Drosophila melanogaster: one gene and its partners. The gene in region 3 interacts genetically with the main gene of each other region. Each region holds a gene or a part of one and is shown on either strand. Other genes may lie near its edges.

Region 1 (4,626 bases), on a different chromosome or scaffold from region 3:
GCCGAGCAAGTTTGATCTGCCTTTGCAGATAGCGATACCTAAAAAAAAAAAAAAAAAAAAAACTAAAAACTTATTTCACACCGAGTGGTATATGAAAAATAGGTACATATATGTACGAACAATGCGTGGGAAGTGTTTTCTGAAGCGAGGAGAGCATAATTAAAACCTAGGCATAGTCAGCTGTGATAAAAGATCTTGAAATGCGATGGAGCAACAACAAAAGCCATGGGGAAACACTTGAGAGCCTGGGCATAAAACAAATAAAACCTGTATAAGGCAAATGTGTTGAGAGAACTTTGGAGATGCTGATACGATGATGTAACAAACTAAAGTCAGCTAACAAATATGTGATTGCGCGCGCGACTTTGTCAAGAATCGTTTGTTGGAAGAAATCTCAAGATTTTCAAATGTTAAATGCTTTACAAACGGATATCGTAGATCGTTGGTAACGGGCGATTAATCATTTAATTGGAAAATAACAAAGTCATTACACGTATTTAATGCACAATTCATTGATAATCAGGTATATAAAACGTATTTTGAAGACATTCGGCAGACATATTTGGCCATTATGGACAATTATCATCAAGTGTGTATAACTTTTGCATTAGGCCAACATTATTATTCGTAGAAAACAAACTTTAATGTTGGCCATAATGGACTTGGCCTAGAAGAAACATAGAAATAGAACCCATTTCCGTGATTTGTCTCCCTTGACAAAACTCCATTAGAAGTGAAATTAGAGCAAATCACAGCTTGATGGCTATAAATTAGGCTAAGTTGGCCGACTTGCGCTATCTTCTCCCTTCTGGCCAAGTTAGCAAACATGCCGGAGATGCCGAACAAAAGATGAGAAAACTACATATATACCAAAAACTGTGTCACTGCGAAAGATCGTGAAGATTATGAGTCAGTGTTTTCAACTCTATTGTTAATCTATTCTCGCCTGCCAGAGAATTATATTTGAAAAGGTCAGAGGTGAAACAGCTAACAAATTGCTCGGCTATATCTTGCAAATAATGTAAGATTTTGTTTACACTTTTGATAACGATTAAATTTCTCTGGAATATGAATGGCTCATATTCTACAGACCGATCTGAAATCAAAACTGGTTTCGCATTTTGTAAATAATAAGGCAAACTACACAAAGAGCAGTTATTGATTATTTAAGCACTCAGTTTTAAAGGAACTGAGAACGCATTTTTTTTTGACATACTTCAGCTATTCACTTCCCCCCGTTCGCATTTCGTTCAATTGGTGAGAGCTTTTAACGCCCCTTGGCAACCAAACAAACAAACAAATAATTAGGAAATGTTGGTGAAAGGGGGAAAGGGGTCAACACATACGATTAAGTGAGTCATAGATAAATGAAATTATTCAATATAAAACAAGCTGGCACTCAAATTGATCTTGAACTTGAGCCTAATTAGAAACTGTAAAACCATTTTTCTGTGTCACGTTTTTCAGTTTTCCTCATTTGCTTTAGGCGTGTTGGATAAAAAGATGGAACATTCAGATGCGCATAAAGTTGAAGCGGATTAACTAACGATCACCATCATGATGATCTAACGCTAATGTCAAAATGGTTCTCCGATTAGCAACAGAACCCGAAAATCGGCACGTTCGTGGAGATAATGAGAAATGGGGAAAGGGAAAGATGGTAGCGGAAAACGGGTCACTGTGAGAAAATAACGCCACAGAGCGAATGCCATCAAAAGCGATCTCACAAAATAACAGAGATTAAAACCAGACACCGTTTCTGCGAATTTTCTTGCATTTCAAACGACAATTTTCGAGTGCCAAAGAAGGTTCTTAGAAATTCGAAATATGTGATTAATGAAGAAATGTGCTTAATAAACTTGTCATTTAAAAAAAAACTCAACTGTATTTAACTGTTGGTTAAATAATATTTGTATAATGTTAAATTATTACTAATACTTGGGAAAATTCGGCAAATGTTATTTAGAGCGGCGTAAACGAGATCCCAAAGCGGAATTGGGATAAAGAGAAGTTTAAAAAGCAAAGGGGCGATGGGGGCGTGTGCGTGCTTGCTTGTGTGTGTGTGTTTGTGTGTATGAGTCAACGCGCAAAATGCGGGCGGCGACTGCACCTTGCACACCCCGCAAAAAGAGAGGGCGATAAAGCAGGAGAGAGCGGCAGCGAGAGCGAGAGAGAATAAGGTCAAGCGGGGTGCGGCAACAAATATTTCTGCTGATAGCCGTTGATAAAAGGCTCTCGCCGCCCTTCTCCTTTTCTTTCTCTCTCTCTCTCTATCTCTCGCTCTCCGTGTGCTCATCAGTCCGCTCCTTTCCTTTATTTTGCTGAATGGAGCACACACACAAAAATGCCAAGCGCAATACCTTTTATTTAGTTTACATTTAAATATTCAACAAAGCAAATAGCAGCAGAAAGATTTCACTGCTGAGTTTTTTTTTCACCTCTTGCTTTGCTCACACACATATACACACACACACACACACATCCACTTTCTTCGACGTCGACTGCAACGCCGGCAGCGGCGCCTTTTGGCGGCTTTTACAAATTTTGTTTATGAAACAAAAAACCCCTGTGTATATTCCTTTCTGGGATTTCATCGGTGTATACACCCAGATAAAAAGAAAGAATCTTTCCACACGGCAGACATCATGAAGAACAACATACGAAATATGCGTAATCACTCTATAATGCTTTAGCTGTAAATGCTTTTGCTTCTCTTTCCTCCTTTTTGCGTACTTCGTTTTCTTCCTTCCTTTTTATTGTATTTTGCGCGTCCGCTTTGGCCTGTCGCTTCGTTTGTTGTTGCTTTGCTGTGTTATCTCGCACTTGATGCACTAAACTAAACAAAAAAGTTACAGGCGCGATCGGAGAATCGGCAACTGATGAATTAACAGGATCGGAACGCAACAGTAAATTGGCTGCTTTTCGGTTTCTCTTCTCGTTCGCCGCACACCGCAATTAAAGTTCCGTTGGTTTTGCTTGCTTGAAAGAAACTAGTGTGAAAGTGGAAAAATACCACAGAGGTGCACCAATGTGACCGCTCTGCCATCGATCAATTATACCAAGCACAAGCATCACTAAGAATAACACAAAAATACCAATAAGTTCCGTCTTATATTGAGGTGGGTGTGATCGCTAAGGCTGGTGGGTGTACTCGCTTTGCTGGTTGATGTACTCGATAGGCGAGCGAGCGAGTTGTGCACTCGCTGGCGAGCGGTTTAAGTATCCGATAACTATGGTTGGTGCACACGCTAAGTAACAAGTGACCGCTAAACTGCTACTTTAACAGACACAACTGTGCATGTTAAGCGCACTCATCGTTCCGCCAGATGGCTTCTTTGCACACTCGTTTCGGTATTTTTTTTACACCAACTTACAGTATATTTTTAGGCCATTTCTGCGTGTGTGCGTTCGTGTGAATATTGTGAATATTTTTTTTACTGTGAAAATAGACAAAAATCGGCTGTGGAAAACCGAAGTAAACACATTTGGGAATCATGGCGATTGGCCCTTAACCTTAACCCTTAAGTGTCGTGCCGACAGTGCCACGCCACAAACCCAAATCCCAAAGAAACAAAAGCGAAAGAAAAAAAAAAAAGAACAACAAAAAGCTATAGTTGCAGCCTCTGAAAGTTTAAGACAATCGCCGATCCGATCGGAAGCGGAAGATATATGCTCGCCACACCAAATGGCATGGTAAACACCTCTCGTTCCTCTAAATGTGATGTCGATGTCGGAAAAGCCGTAGAAATCGTACAATTCCTAAAATCGCAAACTTAACCTCGCAGCGTTGTGTGCAAAAACGGAGAGGGGTGGGGGGGAAACAACGGAAAAAAAAGGCAACGCAAAGCAAAGCAAACGAAAAGCGAAGCGTGTGCGAGCGAGAGGCGAGTGAATAGCATTGTTGTTATTGTTGTAGTGACTTTTATTTTATCTCAGCCGGCGATTTAATTCTCTCGCACTCACACATATTCACGCGAATAAAAGTAAATTCAAATAAATACACTCGCAAAAACAAATTGGCACCGGTAACAATTCAAAAAAACTTATGCACATGTGTGTATGTGTGTGTGTGTGTGTGTGTGTGCACTTAGGAGCAGTTGGAGGCGTGGCATGTGTGTATGCCAATTAGTACGGCTAGTTGTTGGGTCGTTCATTTTGCTCCTTCCCGCTATCAGACTCGCTCTTTGCCCTGCATTTTCTCGCCGAGTGCAAAAGGAAAATAACAAAAAACCTCACTCCAATTGGAGATTCGAGATGCCGATCTCTAAAGCGCAGGCAGGGCAACAACAAAAGCGCCAAGAAGAAGACGGAAAAGGGAAAGATTCGAACTAAAACCTATTGGGATTTCATCTTGGAACATTAACCCTTAGGCGGGCTGAAATGTTGTTTAAATCATATTGAGAAATTTCCCAATAAAAGCGTATTGCATTTAAAAGGATGCCAAGTTTTTCAATTATACAAGTGTAGTTTATGAGCGTGTTTTTAATGAAATACCTAAACATGGCCAGGTTTTGGCAAAACCTCTGCTTGCATTCAATTATAGCACACACAATTATTTCACTGAAACTCAATTGATAATACAATACATATTTGGTAATTTCTTGTTTGCTGCTATGAGCAAAACAA
Region 2 (6,807 bases), on a different chromosome or scaffold from region 3:
TGCTGTCGCGATTGCCCTGTACCGCCAAGCTGTCTATATTCCACCCAACCCACCCAGAGAAAAGTCCAATAATAGTGGTGGTTGCTGCTTTGTTTTGTGCAGTGCCTCAGACAAAAAAGTGCCAATTGTTTTTGGGCCGAGAGTTATTGACACGCCTCGACGGTGAGCGCTTCACAGTTGGCCGCTTAAACAAGTGGGCGTGAAGGAATCCCATTAAGGACGATCGCCACCCTTCCGAAACGGCAGACAATCCTGGCCATCGTCATCCATTCATCCCCGCGGCGTGTCGGCAATTTAAACTAATAATCAACGCATCAGCAAACATTGTCGTTATATTCACAGAAGCCTGTGGCGTTTGGCGGTGACTCCTTACAGATTGCAAGCTATGATTTTCACTCACATGCAAACCAGGTCTCTATAGGGTTCTTCAATCCTAAAACTATTGTTACAATTTTGCCATAAATCCCAATGCCATGCTTTATTCAAGTACACTGTTTAAAAATCGTGGAATTTCACACTATTTTTAATTCGATTTCTGCTCTTTCATTTATCACATTAAAGTATAGTTTTACAATCATATATTACATAAAAGTGGACATGTTCTCGATGCCTTAACAAATCTAATGTACTTTAGATCTAATAAGCCATTTGTTTGGGTTCCAGAAATTGATAACAAAGATTGTGAAATCCTTAAATTAGGTATGAATAAAACCATTTAAAATGTGTTTTAAGCTGATTCAAAGCTGATTAATTCAAAGATTTATCGAAAGAATTGAGTTATTCATATAACAACATATCAATAAAAATATTAAGTGCAGTTTAAGTAATATGTACGAATTCAAATGATGTTGTGAATTTTAATAAAATGTCAAAAAATATATATAAAATATATATATATAAATTATAAGAGACTACTAAGTGTTATTTCTTAGCTAAGATTTTTTAAAATTTCTTTGATTTAAAATGTCTATTGCTTTTCGAGGCCGGACTTAACTTCATTATTTGTCAAAAAATGTCAGTAAATTGAGATTTTGAATGTAGTTTTAAAATTAATCATCTAAAATAGTGAAGCAGCACTAAATCAGAACCAAAAACATAATTATAGTAGCAACTAAAGACGTGCATTAATATTCGTCTAACACTAGGCTCTAACATTAGGACTTTTAACTTTTGGAGAGGAATGGTAAAGTTTACCATCCAAATTCCCTCTGTGGTGCTCATCCTAGACCACGTGTTCCGCGGATGAGGAGGTGCCGGCGCCGAAGCGCAATGGAGTCGGTCAAATGATGTTTGGCGGACTGGCCGCGCTGGCCACTACCGCATTTGGTGAGGACTTCTCTGACTTGACGCATCCGTAGGATGAGATGCCGGTACCGCTGCTGCTGGGCGGGGAGGGTGGAGTTTCCGGACTTATCAGCGGCAGATATCGCCACGGGTGGTAGATGGAGCCGGCGTACATCGCCTGGAGGCGCGCCTGTAGGTCCAGGGCCAACGTGGGATCCAGTGGATAGTGGGCGAGGCCGGGAAAGGCATTCGGCAGGCGGGGCAGCGATAACTCCAGTGGCGAACCAAAACCGTACTTGGCGCTCAAGGTGGCGGCGGCCAGCTGGACATGATGTGGATGAGGATGCGGGTGGTGTGGATGCGATTGATATGGTGACTGGTGCGGATGTCCGTGGAGATGTGGCAGCGACTGACCCAAGGGCGACAACTGGGGCTGCATATCCTTGGGGGAGCCAACTGATCCTGGGCCACTGGGACCGGAGTTACCCGCACCACCAGCGTTGACACCACCGTTGGCACCACCTCCACCGCCGCCACCACCACCACCTGGCACCGGTGACTTGTTGAGCGTCTTGGGCTTGCGACGTGGTCGATACTTGTAGTCGGGATGTTCTTTCATGTGCAGAGCCCTGTAAATTAAATAAATGTTGAAACACTGATCAAAAGATCGAACGATTTAAGCTTTGATGATATCATAAAGTCAGCCATCTCTGGTCGTAAACCCCAAGAGAAGCGGAACCCTTCCATAAACCCCACGCCAGGCAGATACAAAATGCACAAGTTTATATTGTGTATTTAGCGAAGAACCAGCACTCCGATTCCAACTTCGATTCTCTTTCCGATTTCCCAGCTGCAACAATGCGCAATTGTTGACATTTGTTTGACATAACGATAAAACCTGATAAAAGGTGTGTTTGGGTCGCCTCCTCTTGTTTTACTTTCGCTTTTCTTTATTTTGTTTTCCTTTCTTTGGTCAGTTATGGCCTCCTTATCGCGGGTCCCGAAAAAAAATATTGTTTTCCTTATCATCGCGCATTGGCAAATATTTGATCAGAATTTTTGGTTCTTTTCATTCGATATGCTCGCTCGAAAACCCCGAATGGCCATTAGTTTAAGCCCCTTCTGACGAGCCCTGATCATTTATAAATGTCATAAAATGTAAGTAAAATTTAACATTTCCATTTTGGCAGGCCAATCCAATCAATAAAAGGATTATGACAGTGCAAACACAGAGGTTCGTCATCATAAAAGACCGCACTATCTAGGAAGGCATAGAAAAAACGAACTTGTGAGATACGGCATTTCTGGGAATTCCTGTGGTTTAAAAGTGCACTGCAAATTTTGATTCCATTTATACCAATACAACTTATTTAAAAGCTAGTTTTATAAAAAATAAAATAATGTGAGATATCACTTTTGTACTTATTTGTAAAATGCTCGCTTTTGAGTATATTTCTTGTACAAAGAACTCCATTCTAGCGGTATTTTCAGTTAATCCCGATAATTACGTTTATTAAAACTAAGCTCAAACTGAAATTACTCAAACCCTTTCGAAAGGGTACACTGAATGGGTTAAGCACACAAAAAGAAGCAAAATGCAAAATGAATGGAGCATTTCATGCGACGTGTTGCCTCGCTTTTGTGTGACAACTTCAATTGAAATGTTTACCCAAGATATGGCAGTGCCAATGAAATTCTGACTAAGCAGAGCGGACACAATCCCCGACTCCAGAGCTCCGCAATTCAGCAGGAGCTCCTCACAATAGGTAGCCTTTGTCTTAGCTAATCGATCAAATTTTGTGGCCAGACGGCATCTAGTGAGAATGAGCTACCAACTGGGAAAATGGTAACCGAAACCAAGCCAGAATTTCCCATCCAACCTACACCACTCTGCTCCTGCATAAGCCGGCACAGAAAAAAAATGTATATCGTGTGGACTGAATAAAATTGAATAAACAAAGTAATTCTTATATCCAAGAATAGAAAGCGGAGGTAACTACAAAAAATACAAGAACTATGTTTTTCCTAGTTTAAATTAATATAGGATTACTGCAATATGATAATCTGTGATTTTTAACATCAATGGGATCCATATCTTTTTATTTTTTTTAAATATAACTTCGCCCTAATAAACCCTATTAATAATAGACTTGGAAAATTAACTTTTGAATTGAAAGGTAAGGACTTTTCCAGGTAAGAAAATACTCTTATTTCTGTTTACAAATTTAGTACATACATATTTTCTCAGTGCTTTTTAACCAGACCCCAGTGAACAATACTTACCGCAATCGTTTTGCCTCGTCGATGAATGGACGCTTCTGTCCTTCGGTGAGTAATTTCCACTCGGCGCCCAGGCGTTTTGATATTTCAGAATTGTGCATTTTTGGATTGTCCTGGGCCATTTTGCGACGCTGCCCCCGCGACCAGACCATGAAAGCGTTCATTGGTCGCTTAATGTGGTCGTGGCTGTTGTGATGGCTTCCAGTATTCGAATTCGAGTGGCTGGTCGGGGCATTATGGTGGGAGTTGCCATGGTGGTGCGTGTGCTGGTGCATTTTGGGTGCCACCGGAGTGGGGGCCGCTGGCGGAACGGCGAGGTCAGCTGGCGGCATCGGTGGTGGGGTGGTGTTTCCCGATCCAGAGCCTACTCCCACACTCATACCCATGCCCAAGCCACCGACCATGCCCAAACCCAAATTGATGCCGGGCAACTGCGGTGAGAGACTGCTGCTATGGCTGTGATTGCTACTCCCGCTGCTCGTGTAACCATTGCTGTGGCTGTGGCTCCGATGGAGCAGGGCCGAGATGCTCGTCATGATGCCGGGCGCGGAGTCAAGGGACTCCAATGGGGGTGCAGGTGGTAATTATCAGGTGGTAGTGCTGCAGCTGCTCCTCGAGCTCTGAAATGCCAACGGAAATGGTATTCAATAGATATGCCTTGTTAGCTTGGGGACTCTGTCTGCTGCTCCCTGCATGAGTCATTTGATTGGAGCTCTTCGCACTGCGAATAGCTTACCAAAAATATGCACAATGGAACTCCATTTACCCCTTCTAATGTGTGTGTACAGGGGGCTCAAAATGGTGTCCCGGTTTTATGACAAACCAATTTAAATATTTACCAGTAATTCAAATCAGTTTTCAGTATTGAGTATTTGCAAAATTGGGGATTTCCCTTAAATTAATATTATCCAAAATATATTCCTTGAAGAACGTATATTTGCATATTAACAGTACTGCCAAATTCGATTTCAAATGATGAATTAATTAAAGATTGGATTGGAAAATGATATATTTTTTAAAACAGGCTTTTCTAACATTGAAAATTGCAAATATTCATAAAATTCATTATATATTTCATATCCTTATAAATCTTTTGGTTTCTTTTTTAAGAAAATATATTTGTTCGCTTATTTCGCTTTTTTAAAGTGTTTAGTTTTTGGGGAGGAGTGTGCAATAGTTTAATTTAGAGCACAGCTTTTTCTTCATTTCATATTTAAATATTCGAATTGTTTACCTAGGGACCTTTTCTCATCATCATAATTAGCTTACCTGTATTAATTGTCTTTTAATTTCTCCCTAATAAAGTTTAAATTTGGATTCCATCCGATGCGTGACACTTAACTATCTAATTAATTGCACAAGAGTTTACGTTGCGATCGAGTTCTTTTTGTTTATTAATATTACTAGGTTAATTATTGTTGATCGCCATTAGAACTCCTAAAAATACACAAGTGCACTGATATGAATTTTTAACTTATTTTCCAAACAGTTCGAGATTTATAGAGCCTCGAATTTACGAACGTTGAAAGTATTTAAACCGTTAGACTGCCGATTCACCGTTAGCCGAGCGCAGCGCGTCCGTTTCGAGTGCGCGACAATTTAGATTTGAAAACACATTCGAAAACTTGCGACAAAAACGGCAAACAAACGCAACAAAAAGGGGCAAGAGGAAGAACGTGGGTGTTTGTAAGTATGAGGGTGTCTCTGTAGTGGTTGGTCGCTGCTGCGTCGCTGCCGCCCAAAAGGACCGAGTGGGAGCGAGACAAGGCGAGAGATAGTGCAAGGGAGAAGGGTCGCGCAAGTAAGAGAGAGAGAGAGAGAGAGAGAGCGCGCACATTTTGTAGAGTTTTTTACACCTTCGGAGGACGCGTCAACGTGGCGGCTAAGTGATAAAAATTCGCTGCTGCTGCTTTGTATCTTTGTATCTGCGTTTTGTATCTTATTGACAATAGTCTCCGGGTTTGTTTTCGTTTTGTGTGCACGTTTGCATTCTTGTTTACCAAACATTGCTCCTTTTGCTCTTCGCCAGTTGATGATATCTGCATTTTTTATCAAAACCGTAACACAAAAATAATTTTGAAAATTTGAATAGCCCAATAACATATTTCATATTAAGCTACCAATATCAATTTTTATTGTAAATATAAATAGTTTTCTTTGAAAAATTCAAGAAAATTCCGGCTAGTTCTGAGAATTTCGCTGCTATATTTATTTACAAAATATTAAATCATAAATTGGTACGTTTATAAAACACTTTATTATTCAGTTCTGTTTTTCTTCTATGCATTTGTGATCCAAATAAAAGGCATAGTTAAACTACTTTATAGCTCTTCTTAACTATGGAATGAGAACCCATTTTTAAGATGTCAAAAAAATGCCTTGATTAGTTTATTTAAATGGAATACAAAACGGAGTGGCAACAATCAATCGAATGAAAAATACACTTTAGCTTTTGAATCTTATACTACAATTAACCAAATATTGGATACTTACTTATATGCATGGTCTACACTATATGGTTATGGCACTATAATTTCTTACTGTGTATTAGACCGGTGTTTGCTCTCACAATCGATCGGTGGCTTATTTGGTATGTTTGCTGCAAGCTTCGGTATCCGCAAGATTGGCCCTTTTTGTTGGCAGGGTTGGGCCGCTTATTTCAATTGCTCTCCTTGTTTGTCACACACAGGAAATTCTCAATTCTTGTTGTTGCTGTACCAATAACGATTTCTGTATAATTGCAACGATTAGAAGCCCTTGATCCCTTAATAGTACCACCTTTATACATTTGCTAAAATTTCTTATAAATGCCGCTCTTTATAATTGACGGTTTCAATGTTCCGCCAACGGAGCTTCTCCCTTGACGAATACTAAGAAATTAGACAATTTTCCCGGTGTTTACAGTGTAATGTCAATAGAAAAGTGTGTAATATGCTAGGTATAGTACATCCGGAACAATAATTTCCCGATCACAATTAATTTTAATTAAATATGCTTTTGCAATAATATTTAACGATTATTGGGACTATTAGCAACATTTCCACAGTATATACTAAATCTTCAAATTAATTTGACCTAGAAAGTAACAAAAACAACATTTTAAAGATAAATGAATCGTCGCAGTGCTTTTTATTTTAAATTTTTTTTTTAATTTTATTGCGTTCCTTGAAAAGGTTAAGGAATAAAGCAATTAAGGATTTTTGCTCTGCATTCCTTGGCATTTTTAAAAAACAACTGTTGGCG
Region 3 (7,277 bases):
TGCCCAGCGTTTAAAAACATGTGAATGTGTTTTTGAACTAATTAGAGCCAAGGTCAAAGTTGATGGTCTAATCAAAATGATAGCGCGGATTTACAGGCAATTGATAAGTTTGAGTTTTCAGGGAATTCCTTTGGGAAGTGGCAATTTTTAGGTTTTGAAATATTTTTGTAAGTTGCAGTCACCATACATTTATTTAGGGGCCACTTTGGTTTGGCTTGAACCGCCCGCAAATCAAATTTGCAGCAGTCGCGTGTATTAGTCAGCAATTTGTTGCTTTTCGCTACGTCAGTGTTTTACTTTTTCTTTTTTTTTTTTACTCTCCACTGCTGGCTGTTCGATGTTCGCTGCTCGTTTCATTTGGTTCATAATTGACCCCCAGATGTGAACTCGGTGTCCGGAGATATGACTCTGTCCAACGTTCCGATAGGAGAATCGAGATCGCCATCCGAGCTGGCTGGCAAGCAATTTAGACAATTCAATTCGCCGCGCTTGATTGCCAGCATTCTATATCATCACTTGTTTTGCATACGTACATTTTCCAAATTGACTGATTCATCATCGGCTAAATGCGGTTCATGTTCGCGAGGGACAAGTTCAAATGGCAAAAAAGTGGGTTAAAACGAAAGTAGCCAGCCAAACAAAGGTGGCCAAACAGCCAAGGCGGCCGAGTTGAAAGTAAATTTCGCATACGAAATTAAAAAGTAAATATATCACAAAGAATAAAATCGATTGTTTGCTGTCAATAAGGGAACGGCCTTTGGGATTGGGAAACACGGCTGCGATAAGATCGTCAAATAAATAAGCACACAAGCCGCTCGAACTCGCTGCACGGAGAGAAAAGAAGGCATACTACTTCAAAAATGTAGCCCCAGTGCAACTGGTATGTGTGTGTGTGTGTGTTGCTCTTAGCCCACAACAAAAGCCAGCAATTAGCGTATTGGCCAACTTGCTGGCGACGGAAATAAACGCTCTTGGCGAGACAGGGGGTCTGAACTGAACTGAACTGAACTGAAAACATAGTTAATGTGGATGTGCCACACGCACACACCTGTTCGTGGGACATCTGTCGAATCGGACATGTGTATATATGTATGTAGCTTATGTTTACTCGGAATCATCGCTTTTGGCCAAAACATTGGGCCTGATTTATGGGCAACTGAAAGGCTTTTCCGTGGAAGCGAAGAATGAGCCTCTGGCAAGTTCGGCAAATCGGAAGCAGAAGCATATACATATGTACATAAGCCACCACCACATTCTACTATAGCTAACTAAATGTACATATTTCGCTTTGAATGCGGCAAAAGCGAGCGTGGTCGTCGTGTGGGCAGCCGCTCAATTAAGAGCAGCCAGCGTTTAGGATCATTTGATTTCCCAGCGGCTGTCTTCTAATTTGAGCAGCCAGCTCGCACAACACACGCCCAGCAGACAGCAGACAGCTCTCCGGATTCGGATGCGGGTTCGGGTTCTCTAGTAGTTCTCAAGATATATAAATATATATATGATATGTATATATATACATATATATGCATACATCTGCGGCGATCTCTCGATCGCGATCGTTGCCAATTTCGCTCGCCGGAGATTCTGATGCGATTCAGTCGCAAACGAACAACGAACCATCGAAGTTTAGAAAATATCTAACAATTAAAAGCGATCGCGCGCGCGCTTTTCCTCGAATCGCATCGCATCGAATCGAAACGCGAAACTCAAACAACGAAACGAAAATAAATTTGGAAAACTGCAATTGTCGTTGGGTTTTCGGTGCGCGTGCATTGCCAAAACGAATCAGGAGCAAAAAAAACGAATCAGTCGGCTATATGTACATATATACATATAGACGCAAAACAACGCACATTTCTCGGCTGCAAGCGCGTGGATCGAAATATATATGCCATACGAATATACATATATATATATATATATATGTAAATATAGCCAAACCCAGAAATAAAAGCGCAAAGGGAGGCATAACACTCGCTGTGTTGAGAGGCGTTGCCCATGGCCGAGGAATTTCTGAATACAACAAATGCAGCATTAATTGAACTAGCTCAAGGCTCCATGTCCGTGTAAATCTCTATAATTATATAATAATCGAATTTGCGGCTCACACAGTGGAGCGACTTAAACTGGACACGTGTCGCTGGATTTTGGGCCTCGCACACTTACGATAAACTGCGTCGATTATGAGCGCTTTCGCCGAGCGGAATGTGCGTTTCAATCCTTTGCGAAATCAGCAAACGCTTATCGTTAAGCGGCTGAGACCGCCGGAGAGCCAAAACTTCAAGAACTGAGCAATCGAACAACGAACATATACGAAATCTGCTCACGGCTCGCAGCTAGCAAGAAGTCAAATCAAACGAACCCTTTTTCTTTATTAGGAAAGAGCCAACGCAGAAAGCAAACGAAATACACAATACACACAAAAAAAAGAAGCTATGAAACAAAGCCAAAAACGAACGAATTTCTAAGCAACTAGAACAACACTGCGACAACAAACAGCATAGGAGCATCCAAACGAACGGAATTATAAAGACAAGAAAGGATCATCAGCACATTGTTAGGAAACTTTGGGAACAGAGTCCCAATTTGTACATATACTCTAGTTTAGCTAGTAACTAGATTCTTAGATTGTTGAATTGTTTTTGTTGATTTTGAATACAATTCGCATATATCATTGTTGTCCCAATTGTTGTGTTAGCTTAGCTAGGCTAAGAACCCCAACGAATACTAGTCAGCCGCCCAACTGTGCGTATACGCAACGCGAGTGCGTATACTTAATATTTAGGTTTAGATCGATAAGCAGCGAACAAATGATGAAAAATCTCAACGGTAGGACGCACAATGCGTGCTACCATCCCTACTACCACCAATCGCTGCATTTTGCTCAGCAGCAGCAGCAGCAGCAGCAGCATCATCTGCAGCAACAGCAGCAACATATGCAGCAGCAGCAGCAGCAACAGCAAGCGCCGCAGCAACAGTTGCGTCATCAGCAACGGCAACTGCCCACGCAGCCAGCCTACCAGCAATCGCAATCGGTTGCCCACAATGCTTTTCCACTGCGCAGCAGCAGCAACAATTATGGCCATGTTGCTAGCAGCGCCTACGCTGCCAGCAGCGGCAGTCACAACAGCAACAATGCGGCTGCCATGGCCGCCGTCTGCCAAATGCAGAATTTTTTCAACCAGCAACAGCAGCAGCAGCAGCAACTGGAGTTCAACAACAATTGCATGCCCATTAATTACTACCAGCAGCAGCAGCAGCAACATTACCCTTCCGAGTCCCAGTCCTCCGCCTCCGGCTGGAATCCCGAAACCCCTGGGCAGGCGCAACTCGCCTTGACGGCCACAACATGCAACACCACTGCAGCTGCAACATGCAACACCACTGCAGCTGCAACAACGAGCACAACTGCAACATCTGCTGCCGCTGGCAGCGACAACAACCACAGCGACAACTTTGCAATGGACGCCAGTGAGATAGCCACTTTCCTCGCCAACGAGCTTTTCCTACAGCAGGTACCACAGATCGATCGATGATGATGCCTCCGATTCTGGTCGAGATTGGGATAGATTTGGGCGCGAAACAATTGGCAAGCGGCATGCGTACTTAATCATCGCCGAAAATAGAACAAATGCGGAACAACAAAGGGGTGGGCAAATATAAACAAAGTGATGGATTGGCCGCCTCTCTTTCGGTTTCTTCATCTCTCTTCGCCTCTTTTTTTTTCGTTTTTTGTTTGGCCAAAAACACGTTCGCTAATTCGCTAGAAATGTACGGATAAGCAAGAGGTCTTACAGACTTAGCAATAGCTTTTGATGTTGACTGATATCTGAACTCGACCCAAATTACTCATGTGATAAGAATAAATTCCCAAACATCCTTAAGCTATTCGCGGGCAACACTGCGTATGCGTGATATATGTATACTGATATGGCATTGTAGAGGGTTTCGTGCTTGTCATGAGCTTTAATGAGCGTTAATAGTAATCCATCTTCTCAGATACTTGCACTCATAGATGTCTTTACTAATCATGCACCTTTTCTGCTCTTGCAGCTCGGCAACTTTGAGACCGGCCAGAGTGTTCTCACACTGACGACGCCCACGTTGACGCCGACCACCACGCGCAACATCGAGGACACACTGGGCCACTTGCTCTCGGACACGCAGACCGATCGTGTGGCTGGTTGCGCGGGATTTGCAGTGCCAAAGGTGCTACCCAATGCCATTGATGTCCTGGGCATGGGTATTCCCACCGGTGTTTCGTCGCTCCCACTTCAGCAGACATTCGATTTGAGCCTGGGGCAGGGCAGCGAGTCCGAGGACTCCAACGCTTCGTACAACGATACGCAGATGAACGAGGAGCAGGACACGACCGATACTTGTAAGTGAAGCTGGCACGAATTGCTCCGAATGTCTACTAACTCCCTTTTATTTCATACGCCTGCAGCAAGTGCCCATACGGACAGCACCTCGTACCAAGCTGGCCACATCATGGCGGGCAGCGTGAACGGCGGCGGTGTCAACAACTTCTCCAATGTCCTGGCCGCCGTGAGCTCTAGCCGCGGATCGGCGTCGGTGGGCAGCAGCAACGCGAATACCTCAAATACGCCGGCTCGTCGTGGCGGTGGCAGACGCCCCAACCGGTCGACGAACATGACCCCGGAGGAGGAGCAGAAGCGGGCCGTGCGCCGGGAGCGGAACAAACAGGCGGCGGCCCGTTGCCGCAAGAGGCGCGTGGACCAGACCAACGAGCTCACCGAGGAGGTGGAGCAGCTGGAGAAGCGGGGCGAGAGCATGCGCAAGGAGATCGAGGTGCTGACGAATAGCAAGAATCAGCTGGAGTACCTTCTGGCCACCCACCGGGCCACCTGCCAAAAGATTCGCTCCGACATGCTGAGCGTGGTCACCTGCAACGGTCTGATTGCCCCGGCCGGACTCCTGAGTGCAGGGAGCAGCGGCAGCGGCGCGAGCAGCCATCACAACCACAACAGCAACGACAGCAGCAACGGCACGATTACGGGCATGGACGCCACGCTGAACTCCACCGGGAGGAGCAATTCACCCTTGGATCTCAAGCCGGCGGCGAACATCGATAGCCTGCTGATGCACATCAAGGACGAGCCACTCGATGGCGCCATCGACTCAGGATCCAGCCTGGACCAGGACGGTCCGCCGCCCAGCAAGCGCATCACCTTGCCGCCCATGTCCACGATGCCGCACGTTCACTTGTCCACGATATTAACGCCCACCGGCGCCTCGTCGGGATCTCTGCAGACGCCGATCACGAGCACGGCGCCCGGCGGATTCGGCAGCGCCTTCCCGGTGACCTCCAACGGCAGCAGCATCAACAACATCAACAGCATCGGCAACAACATGAACTCTCCCACGCTGAATGCGCATAACAAGGTGCCTAAGGAGCGGCCCAATACGCTGGCTTTCCAGCGTCCTCTGGGCCAGATGCACCTCACCATGGCCAACAACAAGGCGGGTGGGCCCACGCAGATCCAGGGCGTGCCCATCCAGACGCCCTCGACCGGCACCTTCAACTTCGACTCCCTGATGGACGGCGGCACTGGGCTAACGCCCGTCTCCGGACCCCTCGTACCGAACAGCTCCTCCACGAACAAGCACCCGCTGGAGCTGCCCACGCCCACCGCCGAGCCGTCCAAGCTGGTCAGCTTATAACCGGACCGGATCTGGGACGGGGATGGGGGCCGAGTCAGGATTAAGTTAAGTTTTATATAGTTGGCAGGCAAACAACGGAAGGAAACCGCGAAGCACTTTTCTAGTTGTAGGAGATGTTTTCATTTTTGTAATATGCTGTAATATGCGTAAACGTGACGAATGTGTTGTTTCGTTAACTCTAATGTTTTTGTATTATTATCTTTATTATGGTTAATTTATGATTTCGCTATGTCTTTTACATACGCCGAGGAGCTATGTACATATGTTATGTACTTGTAATTTGTGCAATTTTCAAACCTCTTCATTGCGCGTTGTATATTTTCAAAAAATATAAGAACGCGAACGCGAACGCGAACGACCGACGATGCATGATGAGAATGATAAGGATAATGATGATAATAGGGCGTGTAGATTTGCAGGATGCGTTGTGATATTTATTATAAAACGAATACAAAAGATGCGAGGATGAAACAAAGTAGAAAGCAAACAGGAGCGTCTAATGAAAGGAACTAAGCCGGTTTTAAAATTGTACATTTAAACGAATCGTAAAGCGTAAATATACTATAAAACAAAACAAAGTGAATATATATTCAGCATACAAACTAAATACAATGCCTTGAGAGAGAATTAAGAAATGCAAACCTTTATATATAGAGATCTACATACATATATGTATGCATGTACATTTAAAGCTAAACAATAATGGCGTTGAAGCGAGTTTTATATTGAGCAAAAGCAAATGTGAAATGAGATAAATATACTTATTGTGTACTCTGTAAGCTGCAGTAGAAACCAAAATATATTTTTACTAAACGCAACATTGCGCTATTTTCAAATACCATTTATAAGAAATGACAAAAGCAAAGCAATTATTTAATATGTAATTATGTATTATGTATACCTATATCTACCTACCCACAACCTTAAATCAAAAAACCCAAAACGATTCAACAAAAGCTGATCAGGTAAAGCAACTCTCGCCAGTTTCCACACTAAATTCTCAGAATATTCAAAATTTTAATCTATACAAAACCAAACCGATTGATAGCAAATAAATGCACTTATAAGGGCAGAAAAACACCAAAATTTAAAAATGAAATGGAATAAAATAGAAATAAAAAGACCGACAAAACCTAAAGACGATTTGTGGAATTATTTCTGAAGTTATAGCGATTCACATGACTTGCAAATGGGCTGGCTCGTCGTCAGGTAAACATATCAGGTAGATTAGGGTGGACCAACAAAGGCTGCATTCTCAATTTCTGCAGACTTCTTCAAGCGATTTGAAGTACTTACTTATGGAAGTAAACCTCATTGAGAAAATGGCTCTAATGTGAAAATGCGATCATTCAAGTTATGAAAACATTATGAGATAGAAACACCTAGTTGCTGCCATAAAGACCAGTCTGAAGGGCAGGTAAACGCAGCCGTGTTCTTCCACTCGTCTGATAATGGCACAAACGAGTATATATGTACATACAACACACGCTGCATATATTCATTTTCGGGTTTGCCTTATTTTGCATTTTTTTTTGTTTTTTTTGGGATCTGTTGCTTTCGGTGCAGCCACGAATCGCGGATCTCTGTTTCAG

What was found. Genes that interact genetically often act in the same process or in processes that back each other up.
Region 1: of kay (region 3) and Rala, changing one suppresses a phenotype caused by changing the other (phenotypic suppression), as found in Drosophila melanogaster (one study listed by BioGRID).
Region 2: of kay (region 3) and Sox21a, changing one suppresses a phenotype caused by changing the other (phenotypic suppression), as found in Drosophila melanogaster (2 studies listed by BioGRID).

Annotation. Positions count from the first base shown.
Region 1 is NC_004354.4:3,716,630-3,721,255, forward strand, and holds the start of Rala (Ras-like protein A), read right to left. Parts: upstream 3,007-4,626; 5' UTR 2,734-3,006; intron 39-2,733; exon of another isoform or gene 1-38.
Region 2 is NT_037436.4:14,102,975-14,109,781, forward strand, and holds Sox21a (Sox21a), read right to left. Parts: upstream 5,145-6,807; 5' UTR 4,834-5,144; intron 4,185-4,833; 5' UTR 4,101-4,184; coding exon 3,568-4,100; intron 1,914-3,567; coding exon 1,280-1,913; coding exon of another isoform or gene 1,223-1,279; 3' UTR 507-1,222; downstream 1-506.
Region 3 is NT_033777.3:29,787,340-29,794,616, forward strand, and holds kay (kayak), read left to right. Parts: upstream 1-1,596; 5' UTR 1,597-2,813; coding exon 2,814-3,515; intron 3,516-4,053; coding exon 4,054-4,381; intron 4,382-4,447; coding exon 4,448-5,685; 3' UTR 5,686-6,774; downstream 6,775-7,277. UniProt on the Drosophila melanogaster protein: Developmentally regulated transcription factor AP-1 binds and recognizes the enhancer DNA sequence: 5'-TGA[CG]TCA-3'. May play a role in the function or determination of a particular subset of cells in the developing embryo.